Linked DNA regions of Notamacropus eugenii. The protein of the gene in region 2 purifies or fractionates together with the protein of the main gene of each other region. This does not show direct contact. Links are inferred from orthologs where the notes say so. Each region holds a gene or a part of one and is shown on either strand. Other genes may lie near its edges.

What was found.
Region 1: the proteins of H2AX (region 2) and KAT5 purify together in Homo sapiens (affinity purification with western blotting; 3 studies listed by BioGRID and IntAct, with this or other methods). This does not show direct contact. The link is inferred for Notamacropus eugenii from reciprocal best matches to the Homo sapiens genes H2AX and KAT5.

The regions. Positions count from the first base shown.
Region 1 is NC_092873.1:18,452,565-18,460,100, reverse strand, and holds the start of KAT5 (histone acetyltransferase KAT5), read right to left. Parts: upstream 3,006-7,536; 5' UTR 2,736-3,005; coding exon 2,724-2,735; intron 2,619-2,723; coding exon 2,552-2,618; intron 1,820-2,551; coding exon 1,751-1,819; intron 1,632-1,750; coding exon 1,495-1,631; intron 1,123-1,494; coding exon 940-1,122; intron 803-939; coding exon 728-802; intron 638-727; coding exon 563-637; intron 476-562; coding exon 227-475; intron 1-226. UniProt on the Homo sapiens protein: Catalytic subunit of the NuA4 histone acetyltransferase complex, a multiprotein complex involved in transcriptional activation of select genes principally by acetylation of nucleosomal histones H2A and H4.
Region 2 is NC_092876.1:279,716,999-279,722,916, forward strand, and holds H2AX (histone H2AX), read left to right. Parts: upstream 1-4,363; 5' UTR 4,364-4,471; coding exon 4,472-4,909; 3' UTR 4,910-5,358; downstream 5,359-5,918. Other genes in the region: DPAGT1 (UDP-N-acetylglucosamine--dolichyl-phosphate N-acetylglucosaminephosphotransferase), read left to right, coding at 595-682, 830-985, 1,139-1,204; HMBS (porphobilinogen deaminase), read right to left, coding at 5,875-5,918. UniProt on the Homo sapiens protein: Variant histone H2A which replaces conventional H2A in a subset of nucleosomes. Nucleosomes wrap and compact DNA into chromatin, limiting DNA accessibility to the cellular machineries which require DNA as a template.

The DNA of each region.
Region 1 (7,536 bases), on a different chromosome or scaffold from region 2:
ACCCACTGCTTGGCCTCTCCCTTCTAAGGCTCTCTCCCACCTACTCTCTCTTCATCAGACATGAGGACTCAAGCACATATCTCCCCATTTGATTGTGAGCTCCTGGGGACAAGGACTGAGATTGTGTCTTTCTTTGCTTCCCCAAAGCTTAGTACAGTGTGTAGCATATATAGTAGGTGCTCAGACAGTGACAGGAGGCTAGGGGAGGGAGGCCCCAATGACGTACCAGGTGACGCTGCAGACACTTGAGGCTTTTCCCATACTTCAGACAGAATTCGCAGAGATAGAGCACAGGTAGGGCAGTTAGTTCTTGGGGATATGGGGAGAAGTACCAGGGCTTGAGGCGGTGGCGGCCCAGCTCGATGCACTCGATGTTCTTCATGCGGGTAACAATGTCGTCGTGGCTGCGGTCAGACACCAAGCTGCCTGTCATGCGAGGGGCCGACGGGATTCCGTCCGAGCTATCCTGTGAGTCCTGTCGGTGGCCACAGGGCAGGGAAAGGCATGAGCATGCCACCCTCCCCTGACTTGGCTCCCTTTACTCCACCCTTACCAGACTCACCTCATCTGTGCCTAGACAGTTGGACTTCCTCTTCCGTCCTGGCTGGGCAGCCAGTGCCCTCCGGGCTGAACCATTCTGTGGAGACACAGGAGGGGGAAGGAAGGAATGAGCTGAGGGTCTCAAGGGCATGGGCTCAGGGGCACCAAGGGGGTCTCAAGCACACACCTGAGGGAAGACAGAGGCTGGTGCTGTCTCGCTGGGCACGGGAGTTGCTGGTGAAACCACTTCGACTTTCCGTTTCTGCAGAGAGAGACCGAGAAAGGTGGGTCAAAGGGGCAGGGGACCTGGGTCTTGGAAGGAAGCGAGCTCACAAGGAACTGTGGGGACGAGGGAGCTGGGCTCCGGAGCTCCAGGTGAAGAGTGGAATCCGAGGGTACCGTGGAACGGTGGTTGGGTTGCAGGCAGGAGCTGGAGGAGAGGGGCTGGTCAGGCTCGCCGCCGGGGATGGCCTCGCGCTCCTTGGGTAGGTTGAAGCGGAGCGTGATCTGCACCGGGATCGGCAGTGTCTTCCCACTGGCCTGGGCCGAAGCCGGCTGTAGAGATAGGTCCAGGGTCTTCCTCTGGGGGAGGGGGAAGGGAGCGAGGGGGAGGGGAGGAGGGGGCCCCCATCAGCCAGGTGGGTTCACCCCCCCACCCCTTCCCCTTGGGCTGGCTTCCCACCCCAGCTATGTGGGGTTTGGTGACTGAATTTTGAAACCTAAGATTCAGTAACACCACCTCCTCCCTCTGACCCGACCTGAATCTCTACAGAGCCTCTCCAGGCTGCGGCCACTATAGCAGGGCTGCCTTGTTCCCCTTCTCATCCTCAGCCTGCGGCACAGGAGCCCCAAAACCATGGGTTAAGCACGACAGGGACAAGCGAGATGGGGGCGGGGCCTGACCATCCTCCTGGGAACTGTCTCCAGGTTGATTTGGATACTGCTTCTACTCACCACCTCCCTCTCAGGGGAGCCCGGTCTGGACCCAGGGAGCCCATTTTTTGTGGGGGTCTTCGCCTCTTTTTTAGGAAACTGGATCTTCTTTAGGTCCAGCCTGTCATGGGTCACCCACTCATCCAGGCGCTTGTTGACTGCACAGAAGTGGAGAAGTTCTGATGTAAGGTGTCCCCCAGGGCTCTTCTCATCCTCCCAACCCCCGATGCCTGTGATACCCGCCCTGTACCCAAGGACCACTGGGCGTGGCACTCACAGTCTATGTAGTGAACGTAGAACAACTTCCGGCCACTAATGTCCTTCACACTCAGGATCTCGGCCAAAGCTGCGAGGGAGAGGCAGGAGTCTTGGAGGGGTGCTGGGCACAGACCCCACTTTGTCCCTGGGAGCCAGCTTCCTCCATGTCCACCCCCTGCTTTGGTTCTACCCTCTGGAGAAAAGTATCTTCTCTCCCCCTCCAAGTCCCTCCCCAGGATGCCCAGATCACCCCCTCTCCTTAGCTTGGGTCCTGCCCCTTCCCCACCAGTCCCTGGCCCCGCCCTTAGATTGCCCTTGGAATGCCCTTGGAGAGGGGGGGTGCCAAGGACTCTGGCCCCGCCTCTTGGCTCCTAGGGGTCCTTAGCCCCGCCCTGCCCTCCACCCGAGGCATCCTAAACTGGAGACCAAGTCTCACCTCTCCCAAGACCGGGGGTGGGTGGATGAGTGGGTGGAGTCTTCAGGTTCTAGCCACACCCCACCAAGCCCCACTCTGGGAGGTCTCAGGCTCCATCCTTAAATTAGCCACGCCCCTTTGCCATTTACCCCAGGCCCCCTCTCTAATCCCTTCCCAGGAGGTCTCTTGGCCTCTGGCCAGGCCCCCTCCCCGGAGTCTCTCAGACCACGTCCCTCCCTCCCCGAGCCCTGGCCCTCTCTTTATCCTTCCCTCCGAGGTATGTTTCAGCCCCGCCCCTCAGGGGAACCACGCCTATTCGCTCCCCAAGCCCCGCCCTCCCTGCAGGGCTCCAGCGCCCAGGCCCCGCCTCCACGGCGCCCGTTGGCTCCGCCCCCCGTCACTCACGCCACTCATCCTCGTTATCCTGATTACGCCGCAGCACGGGCAGGCGGCAGCCTTCGATGACCTCGCCCTGGGGAAGACACCGCGGTCAATGGGGGAGGCCGGGGGAGTCGCCGCCGTCCTGCGGATGCCTCCGCCCCGCCTCGCCCCGCCCCGCGCCGGGCCCCGGACTCACCACCTCCGCCATCTTCCCTCCCTCCCTCAGGAGCCGCTTCCGGCTCCGCGGGGTGACGTCACATCCGGCGTACCGGCGCCTCCCTGCTAGCAGCTCTGAGGGTGTGGGGCTGCGGGAGGCTCCGGGAGGAGGGGACCGGGGGCGGGAGGAGCCCGCGGCCAAGAACGCGGCCCAAGCGGGGAGGGCGGCCGGCCCTCAGGGGCGCTCGGCTCCGGGTTGGGCAAGCGGCGCAGGAACCACCTCGAGGCCCCGGGCCGGCTCCGGGCCGGGGCGGGGCCTCGCGCCTCGCTGCCTGATTGGAGGAGAGCTGGGTCCTTCACGCCACGTAGTTCGAGCGCGTCGCAGTCACGTGGGCGCGTGACGCGCTTGTTGTTCCGGCCGGGTCCTGGAAGTGCGGGCGGGGCCGGCCTGCGGGGCAGCAGACTGCGGCGGCGGTGCTCCATCCGGCCTGCACTGGGTTCGAATGCGGCTGCTCACCCGAGCTGCCTTAGCGACCTTGGACAAGTCACTCTCCAGTCTGGGCTTCAGTTTCCCCCTCTGTAAAGGGTCGGGGTTGGCCGGGCTGGGCGCCTGGAGTCAGGAAGGCCTGAGTTCCAGTCGTGCCCAGACCCTTGTTAGTCCTGTCACCCTGGGCACATCACTGCGTCTCGGCTTAACGGAGCCCTAACGGCACCTGCCCCCACCCCCGGCCCCCAGGGTTGTTGTGAAGATCGAATGGCATTTCGCTGCCAGAGTGCCCAGTCACGATGCAGCGCAGAGGCATGTCAAACCCAGGGCGCTGCCAACCACTGTTTCTCCCCCAAACCTTCTTTGGACAACCGAGCCTGGGCCGAGGGGCCTGTCCCAAGTGAGTTGTGAGGATCCCCCGCAGGCAGAGTTCGTGTTTGCTAGGTCTTTTTGCTTCCGTCAATAAATCAATTAATTAAAATAAGTGATTGCTTTGTTTTTGATTTACCAAAATGAATTGGAGCAAATACTGACCGGAGAGACCACGGAGGAATACCTTTGCCACCATCACAAGGAATGAACGGGCCTCCTTTGTCTATGGCGGTGAGTTCTCATCCTGGATCTCTCCCACCGTAAACACAAGTATTTCAACAAAATTAATGTGCTTTTGAATTTTTAACGCAGTTGTCAATTTGACGTTTCTAAACCGAAGAAGGAAATGGATCATGAGCTCCTTTGGAGCAGCAGCAGCTGGTGGTTTTATGAAGGGATGTGAAAACGGAATGCTGCAAAGGCTGGGAGGTTATGTGTGACCTTGGTCCGTTCACATCCCTTCCTTCCGTCTCAGTTTCTTGAAGGACGTCTAAGGTGACTCCAACTTCTCACAATTTACCCTCTGAGGCCCTTCCAAGTTCTCATGTTTTGTATTCTAAGGTCCCTCTCAGTTCTGACCTGCCCAGCCAATCCTGACAGTCTACATTCTATGCTCTTAAATTCTCTATCAGGCATCATTATATAGATAGGTCTATATTTACATGTGTACATGTTAGACTCCTATAAAATGTCAGATCTTTGAGGACAAAGAACTTCTATTTTTTGTCTTTGTATCTCCAGTGCCCAAACAGTGCCTGGCAAGCAGTTGGTTTATTGATTCCAAGGTCCTTTTCATCTCTTATGTTCTGTGTCCTAAGGTCTCCTCCAGTTCTGAAACCCTGTGCTAGGTTTTCAAGTCTCTCTGAGGATTAACATTCTCTGTTCTGTTTTGTACTGTCTAGCAAGACTTTTCCAAGGCCAGAGAAAGTAACAACGCTCCCCGCTCTTCATCCCTATCTTCCTGGTATTCCCAGAAACTGTCAAGTTTCAACTCCAACCCCACCTTCTGCAAGAAGCTTTTCCTGATCCCCTTTAATTCTAGTGCTTAACATCTGTGAAATACCTTCTATTTATGTACACAGTATGATGTTTGTATGTTGTCTCTAATCAGACTGTAACACCTCGAGAGTAGGGGCTGTCTTTTGCCTTTCTTTGTATCCCCCAAGCTTAACACAGTGTCTGGCATACAGTAATAGACTAATAAACACTCAGCGGACTTGCAGGATAACATTCCATAGCCTTGTCTTTTAAAAACCATGATTAGACATTTTTTTCCTCTATGTTCTAAGGCACCCTCCCAGTTCTGACAATCTGTGTTCTAATTTCTTTCCCCTTTCTGATAATCTACAATCTAAGTTCCGTCCCAACGCTGCTCTTCTACACTGTGTGACCTAAGTAAGCTCTGACAGTCCATGTTCCAAGGCTCGTACAAGCTTCGACATTCTCTGTTCTACTTTTTAAGACTTCTCCCAGGTAAGACATTCTTGTCTTTCTGGGATCACATATCTGGAGATAAAGGGACCTCAGAAATCAACTAGTCTAACACCTCTACCATTTTATTAATGAGGAAATTGAGGTCTAGGGAGGTTAAGTCTCAGTGGCTGAGGTGGGATTTGAACCCAGTTCCTCTGATTTCCCAACTCATGCTTCTTTCACTATACCAAACTGCCCTAAGGATACATTCAGCTCTGATATTCAGTGTTATCTAGCTAATAGCATTTAGGTTCTCCAGTTTCTGGTCCCTGCTAGTCTGATATTCTCTGCTTGATGCTGTAATGTCCCATCCACTTCAGCAAGTCCTATGTTCTAAGGTCCAAGCCAGCCCTGACATGCAGTTCTCTAAGGCCTTTCAAAGCTCTGACATTCTTTCTTCAAATGCCCTCCTCATTTCCAGCAGTCTTTATTCAAGGGTCCCTTCTGATAGGTTTTGTTCTCAGGTCCCTCCCATCATACACTAACAATCCATGTCTATGTTGTAATACCCATCCACGCTTCAGATTAGTTCCCTTCAGTTTCAGATATCCCATGTTCTGCTGTCACATACTGTGTTGCCTCTTACCATCTCTTAGTATGTTCTAAAGATGCTCCCACCTTAGATAAGCTTTCTCAGAGACATCCTACCTGATGAACAAATGCTATGTTCTGTGCTAAAGTCAAAGCTTGACCTTTGACATTTGAGGTTCTAAGGTCTTTCCTAGCTCTGATAGTCTATGTTGTAAACTCTCAGACAGCCAATACACATGAATTAAGCACTATGCTAAGCACTAGGGATACAAAGAAAGGCAAGATAGTCTCTGCCCTCAAGGACCTCACAATCCCTTTAGGGGTTTCCCCAACATGCAACAAACTATGTACAAACATGCCATATAAACAGGAAAAATAGGAAATAATTAACAGAGGGAAAGCACTAGGACTAAGAGGGAAAGAGAAAGGCTTCCTGGAGAAGATGGGCTTTTAGTTGGGACATACAAGAAGTCAGGAGGCCAGCAGTCGGAGATGAGGAGAGACAATGTTCCAGGCACAGGAGGCAGCCAGAGGAAGTACCTGAATCCAAGAATTGGAGGGTCTTGTTCATGGACCAGCAAAGAGGCCAGTGTTACTGAATCAAAGAGTACAAGTCAGGGAATAAGGTGTAAGAAGATTGGAAAAGTAGATAGGAGCTTCAAACACCAAAAACAGTAAGTAGGACCTGCTCTTTAGGAAAATCATTTTAGCAGCTCTATGGTGGCTGGACTGGAGTGGGGAGATACTTGAGGCAGGCAGACTCACCAGCAACTAATCCAGGCTTGTGGTGATGAGGAGAGAAGGGGGTATAATGGGAAGATGCTGCAGAAGTGAAATCAATCAGAGGTGTTACAGAGGAGAAATCAACAAGAAGGGCTAGAGAGGAGAAATCAACCAGAGGTGAAATGAACAAGGAGGCTGGAGGGGGAGAAATCAACATATTGGATGGGGGAAAGGGAGGGAGGGAGTAGTCCAGAATAACTCCTAAATTGGGAGCCTGGGGGACTGGGAGGATTGTGTTGCCCTCTACAGTAACAGGAAAGTAGGAAGTGGGGATGGTTTGGACAATACTGAGTTTAGGATGTCTACTGGACATCAAGATGCCTTGAAAGGCAGAGATATGAAATTGGAAATCAGCAGAGTTAAGGCAGGATAGGTAAATTTAAGAATCATCGGCATAAAAGTGGTAATTAAATCCATGGAAACTGATAAAATCACAAAGTGAAATGGAGAGAGAGAAGAGAAGAGGGTCCAAGAGAGGAGGGGCCTAGGGAAGAGAGCATGATCTGGAGAAGGATCCAGCAAAAGAGACAGAAAGAATGGTCAGAGAAGAACCAGGAGAGAAAGGTGTCCTGAAAACCAACAAAGGAAACAGTGTCAAGGAGGAGAGAGTGACCACTATTATCAAAGGTTGCAGAGAAGCCAAGGAGAATAAGGAATGAGAAAAGGCTGCTAAGAGATCATTGGTAAACTTTAACATTCTGTGTTCTAAGGTCACTCACATCTCTGATATTCTATGTTCTAAGGCCCTTACTAGCTTTGACCATCAAAGGTCTCCTCATATCTGATGTCCTATGTTCTCAGGTCTTTCCTAGCTCTGATATTCTATATTCATCTAAGCTTTGACATTATATATTCTATATTCTGAGATCACTCCCAACACTGACATTTGGTATTGGATGTTCCCTGAGTCTTATGTGCTGATATTCCACATGCTAAAGGCCTTTTCAGGCATCAAGGTGGCACAGTGGATAGAGTGTGGGGCCTGGAGTCAGGAAGACTCGCCTTGAATGCAAATCTGGTCTCAGACACTTAGCTGCGTGACCCAGAGCAAGTCATTTAACCCTATTTGCCTCAGTTTTCTCATCTGTAAAATGAACTGGAAAAAGAAATGGCAAACCACTCCAGTATCTTCACCAAGAAAACTTCAAATGAGGTCGTGAAGAATTGGACATAACTGAACAAAGGGCCCTATTAGTTCTGATAACCT
Region 2 (5,918 bases):
TACATGTTTTCCACTTGGCTACCTTTCCTCAACACAGTTGCTTATGCCTGAAATGCCCTTTCCTGCTCCCAGGTGCTCCCAGTGCTTTAAAGCTCAACCTCTTACTGCTAGGAATCCTCCCCTTCAGTTATGACATATTCCTTCCTTCCCTTCCCTTACACCTGTGCCTTTTAAGCATTTATGTGGACCTTGACTTATTTAACCTCCTATATTTTGTTTTCTCTGTTCATGTGTGTCATATTCCTTAACTAAATCTTAACTCCATAAGGACAGGAATTGTCTTATCTAAGCTTTGTTTACATTTCATCGAACACCTCGTGTAGTGTTCAGCACACAGTAGACACTTGTTTGTTGAATTGAATAACTCAAATGTACAGATTTTCAGGTCTGTAAAGTACTTTCTTCACAGTCCTGTGAGGTAGGATTATTATAATCCTCATTCTACAGATGAGGAAATTGAAATTCAGAGAGGACATGTTACCATGGGTTTCCACAACCAATAAGTTTGTGACCCTAGAATGTGAACCTATGATTCTTAACTCTTTCTATAATACTCTGCTGCCTCTTGAGTGTCACACTCCATTTCCTCTGTAGGCTCAACACCAAAACTGGGAAGCTGGAGATGAGCTATTCCAAGTTCAAGGCCAAGAACCTTTCTCTCTTGGGCACCCTGATACTGAAGGTAAGGTTGACATGCACACCCAGGTACTACTATAGACCCAGAGCATGGGAACTCCAGACCCAGAGCAGACCTGAGGGAAGGTTTGTGCTTTTCCTCTTACTGATGTGAAACATGGCTATGGTTAACACCCACCTTCTGCTTCTCCAGGGTGCAGAAGCCCTCCGATTGGTGGCTGTCCGTCGAGGTGAAAATGAGGCTGGTGCCTACATTGAGTGCAACAACATGACCCTCATTAACCTGCTCATCAAGATCTTGGGGCCCATTCATGAAAAAAATCTCACTTTGTTGCTTCTGCTCCTGCAGGTGATCCTTTGGGCTAAGATGGGCATGGCGGGTCCTTATCCCTCTTCCTTATTCTTCTGTTTTCCATATATCCTCTCCCCAGGCTGGTTACCCTCCTAAGGTCTCCCTCCCTGCCTCCTTTTCTCATGACTCTCCATCTATTTCTCCTTGCAGATTCTGGCTAGTGCTATCACATTCTCTATTCGATACCAGCTGGTTCGGCTCTTCTATGATATTTGAGTCTTTGACGGTGACTCTTTACTTCACAACCCTCTGCCCCTGTCTCATGTGGACCCCTGTTGGACTAAGACTGTATTCCTCATAAGCCTATTGGGCTTCTCCCCATCCTTATTGTCTTCAAAATTATCTCCTTGGGGAGGTATCCTACCCCTCAATGATTATTTATTGATTGTATTTGCCCTATGGACTTCCCTAAATTGACATTTTTCTCCCTTTCCTTCCTTTCCTGATGCTTCCCCTGGGGCAGGAGGCAGCAGCTTCTTGGAAGCTAGGTTGCCACTAGGGATCAGGCTAAGTCCCTGGTGGTTCCTAATGGTTCCACCCTGAATTGATATGTTACTGGGAATTAAGCATTTTGATTAATAAGGAGCAACCTGAGTGGTCATTAGCTCCTTTTGGTGATGATAAATATGTTTGGTTCACTTTTTTAACTGTGGGTGTGCTCTTGTTTTCAGATGATTTTGGGGGGGCAGGGGAGGGAACACTTCCCTGCCTGCTTCCACCATTAGGTAAATATCAAATCCTGGCCCCTCTTTCTGTCTTCTTTGCTCCAGATACTGAGCTCCTTCCCTTCCTTGCAGGTGGGGGAAACATACATAGTTAAGTCATGCAACCTATGTGGAAAATTACATTGGAGAAAAACAACCAGGTGGAATAGCTATCTGAAAATGTGTCACATAGAAGGAAGTATTAGACTTCTTTTGCTTAAGTCTTGAGTATAGACCCAAGGCCAATGAGTGGAAGTCACATAGGAACAGATTTTGCCTTAGTAAGAGAAAATTTTCAAAAACCAACTCCTTATCAGAGCTATCAACAAATGGACTGAACCCCTTCAACAGGCAGTGAACTTGCCAGTCAATGGAAGCTGTTCAAAAGGAGGTCACTAACCACTTGTCGAGGACTGCCACTGATAAGAGTGAATGAATGAAGCACTTATTAAGTGTTTACTATGTGCAAAGCACTGTGCTAAGTGCTGGGCAGGCACATAGAAAAGTCAGGCCGGCCCTCCCCAGGAGCTCATATTCTAATGGAGAAACACCACATGCAAGGTTCAGCTGCAAGTCTCACGGTTCTTAGGGTGCAGCTGCAAGGGAGCTGGAAATACCTTTTCTTTAATGTTACTTCCACCAATAAAATCATATTGACTTCTGATGGTGAACCACTTGGCAGTGCCAGGGGCTTTGGTGGCAAGACCCTTCTTTTCTGAGTCTTCAGTAACTGTGGCTGCAGCACTTTCAGAACAATTTTGAGGGCTGGGCTAGAAGCAGGAGTGATGCTGTAAAGGTTGCTGAAGCTCTTAGGGCTCTTATGTCTATCTGCCTGTTGGTGGCAATTATTTCTAGTGTTGATGACAAAGGTTGAGAGGGATGATCGCCCTTTTAACTGTCCAGTCTTAAGGAGTGGAAGTGAAGGATGAGAGGGAAAGACTGATCTCTGAGGAAGACATAAGACCAAAGGGTGGAAATCTGAAAGGTAAATTTAGATTTTATGTAAGGAAAAATTGCCAAACAGAACTATGGAAAGGTAGAATAAACTGCTTTGGTCACTAGTAGGTTTCCCCCTTCTTGGGTGTCAAAGTCTTGAAGCTGAGGTTATATTGTAGATTGGATCCTATTCAGGTATGGGATGGAACCAGGGATGAGGAACCTTTGGTATCGAGGCTGGAACTTTGAAGTTTGGATTCAACGGCTGTACTAGAGGGCCACAAGTGTCCTTGAGGTCAAAGGTTCCCCATCCTTGGTTAGATGGATGGATGGATGGATGGAGGGAGGGAAAAAAAGTAAGTGCTGACTCTCAGTTGTTTCAGACTCTATGACCCCATGTGGGGTTTTCTTGGCAAAGATACCGAAGTGGTTTGCTATTTCCTTTTCCAGCTCATTTTACAGGTAAAGAACCGGGGCAAACAGCTGCCCCTAACGACAACAAACGTGCTAAGTGCGGGAGATATAACTAGAAAAGTTTGAGTCCCTGCCCTCCCAGCTCCCAAGTCCCCTCCCTCTTGTAGATGTGAGAGAAGACCCCGATCCTTCAGCTGGGGCTGGGGCCCAGTCAGGGGCTGGAGTTTTCCCTTCTCTTAGGGACTGGGCTGCAGGGACCTCTTCTTACCCACTGAACTTGTTCAAACAGGGTTTGGATTTGGAATAAAGGGCCTGGGCTAAAGGAAAACCAATTCAAAACTTCATTTTAACCTTGACCCTGGGTTTTTGCATTTCCCAAGACAATCATCGCTAGTAACAGCATCAAGCGCGGGGGACAAAGAAGGTCCGCCCAGCCTCCCACCAGAGCTCACTCAGCACGCGGTGAGCACCTGCGGCGTACCGGCACCGGCCCGAGGGGCGCGGAGGGCGGCGCCAGGCCGTGCAGTCAGACACGCCTCCCTGGTTCGGATCTAGTCTCAGCCGCCGGCAGGCTCGGGGCTCCTCGGCAGAACGGGCTGGAGAGGGAACGGCAAGCCGCAGCCGCTGCCTGGAGGGGCGGGGAAGGAAGGCGAACACGCGGGAGGAAATCTTCGGGACTAGTCCTTAGGCAAGGGGCGGGCCCTCATGGGAAAGGGCCTTCCTCACCCTTCCCGTAGCGGGCGCCTCCGGGGGGCGGGGCCCGGGCTCCGCCGGCGCTGGACGGTCCCGAGGGACCGCCCTCTGTCCGGCTCTTTCGGTCCTGTCTGACTCTGTGGCTTTGTTTTCTTGGCAAAGATATTGGGGTGATTCGCCGTTTCCTTCTCTAACTCATTTGACAGATGAGGAAACTGAGGCAGACAGGATGAAGTGACTTGCCCGAGGTCACAGCTACTAAGTGTCTGAGGTCGGATTTGAAGTAGGGAACCCGAGTACTCTTCCGCGGGCGCTCATTTGCCTTTCTTGGCGCCTAGGCCATTTGAATCTCCCGCGCTTCCGATGGATTGGCCGCTTGGGGGAGCGGGAAGCCGGGGGTGGGGAGGAGCGAAGCCGACCGCGCCCCTCCCTCTAGTTTGCTAGTCGGAGTGATCTTCCCCGGGTTAGAAGAATTTTTAAATCCAGCCAATCGGTAAGCACGCTCATACGCTCAGGAGGAGGAGCCTGATAGCTAAGGGCAGCCAATCGGAGGCGGCCTCCATGATGCAGCCAATAGGGAACTAAAGGACGCTGTGACCGGCCGCCTTAAAGGCGGCAGCTTTGCACGCGGACCGGCATTTAGACTGCGGCGAGAGTTTGGTGAGTGTGTGTGCGCACGCGCAGCCGTTACTCGCGGTAGTTCTCTCGGAACCAGTCTCGCGCTTTATACGTTAGCATGTCGGGTCGCGGCAAGACCGGCGGGAAGGCCCGTGCCAAGGCCAAGTCTCGCTCTTCGCGGGCCGGGCTGCAGTTCCCTGTGGGCCGTGTGCACCGATTGCTGAGGAAGGGCCACTACGCGGAGCGAGTCGGAGCCGGCGCGCCGGTGTACCTGGCGGCCGTGCTGGAGTACTTGACGGCCGAGATCCTGGAGCTGGCGGGGAACGCGGCCCGGGACAACAAGAAGACCCGCATCATCCCCCGCCACCTGCAGCTGGCCATCCGTAACGACGAGGAGCTCAACAAACTCCTGGGCGGCGTGACCATCGCCCAGGGCGGCGTCCTGCCCAACATCCAGGCGGTGCTGCTGCCCAAGAAGAGCGGCGCCATCACGGGACCCAAGGCCCCGGGCAGCGGCGGCAGCAAGAAGAGCACGCAGGCCTCGCAGGAGTACTGAGCGCCTCGCCGGCCTCGGCCCGTGGCCGCTCGGCCCGCACCGGCCCCCCTCCCCCACAAAGGCCCTTTTCAGGGCCGCCTCCCCCCTCCCTGAGAGAGCTGCTGCACCCGCCTCCCTCCCCGAGCCCCGCCCCCGCCGGCCCGGCCCGGCTAGAGCTGCAGCCCGGAGCCCGGAGCTGCGGCCCGGCCCGCCGGGGCCCGGGTTATTCTGACTCCTTCTCTCTTGGCAGCTACCGAACAAAGCCCGGGGCCATCGCGCCCCAAGGTCGCGCGGGGCCCCCAGACCAGCGAGGGCCAGACCTCGTCCGAACCCGGCCGGCCCCGACCCTGGACAATGAACTGAATTTTCTCAGCTTAGACTCGTTGCCTTTATCCGGGGAATTGAGAGACTGTGAACGACAATTCGGAAGTCTGATTAACTTAATTTTATTAAATTTTTTTTCTAATGAAGTTTCTTGTCTTTCTTCAGCTCCCCCTAGGTGCCAAAGGTTAGCTAAAGATCGTGGTGATTCGGTGGCCACTTTTCCTTGGGGGAATTTGGGTCTGGAGAGTAAAAAGATTTTAGTACGTAAATCAGTCAACGTGCGTATTTATGTGCCAGGAACTGGAGATAGATATACTGGAAGGTGAATGGGATGACTGTCCACACCCCAGTCATCATCTACAGGCTAAATAAAAATTCCACTAGAGTAAGGTCAGGTGTTTTATTGACAAATTTGGTTACATTCAAAGTCTGTAGACTCTCCACAGAAAACAATTCTCCAGCCCCTTGTAAAAGAGGGCCAGAACAAGGCACTAGGAAGCTTAGCAGCAACAGGTCCCCTTTCCCACACCTGAGGCCCAGATGATGCAGTTTTTTGTGCCCAGGGATAGTTCCTGTTGAGTTAATTAATCCGGGAAGGATTCAGGGCACCCCAGAACAAATCTGGTCAATGTTCCTGGGCAGAAAATGCCCTTGGGACTAGGTTAGTGGGCATCATTAAGCTGTCTTGCTATATCCAGGATCTTCT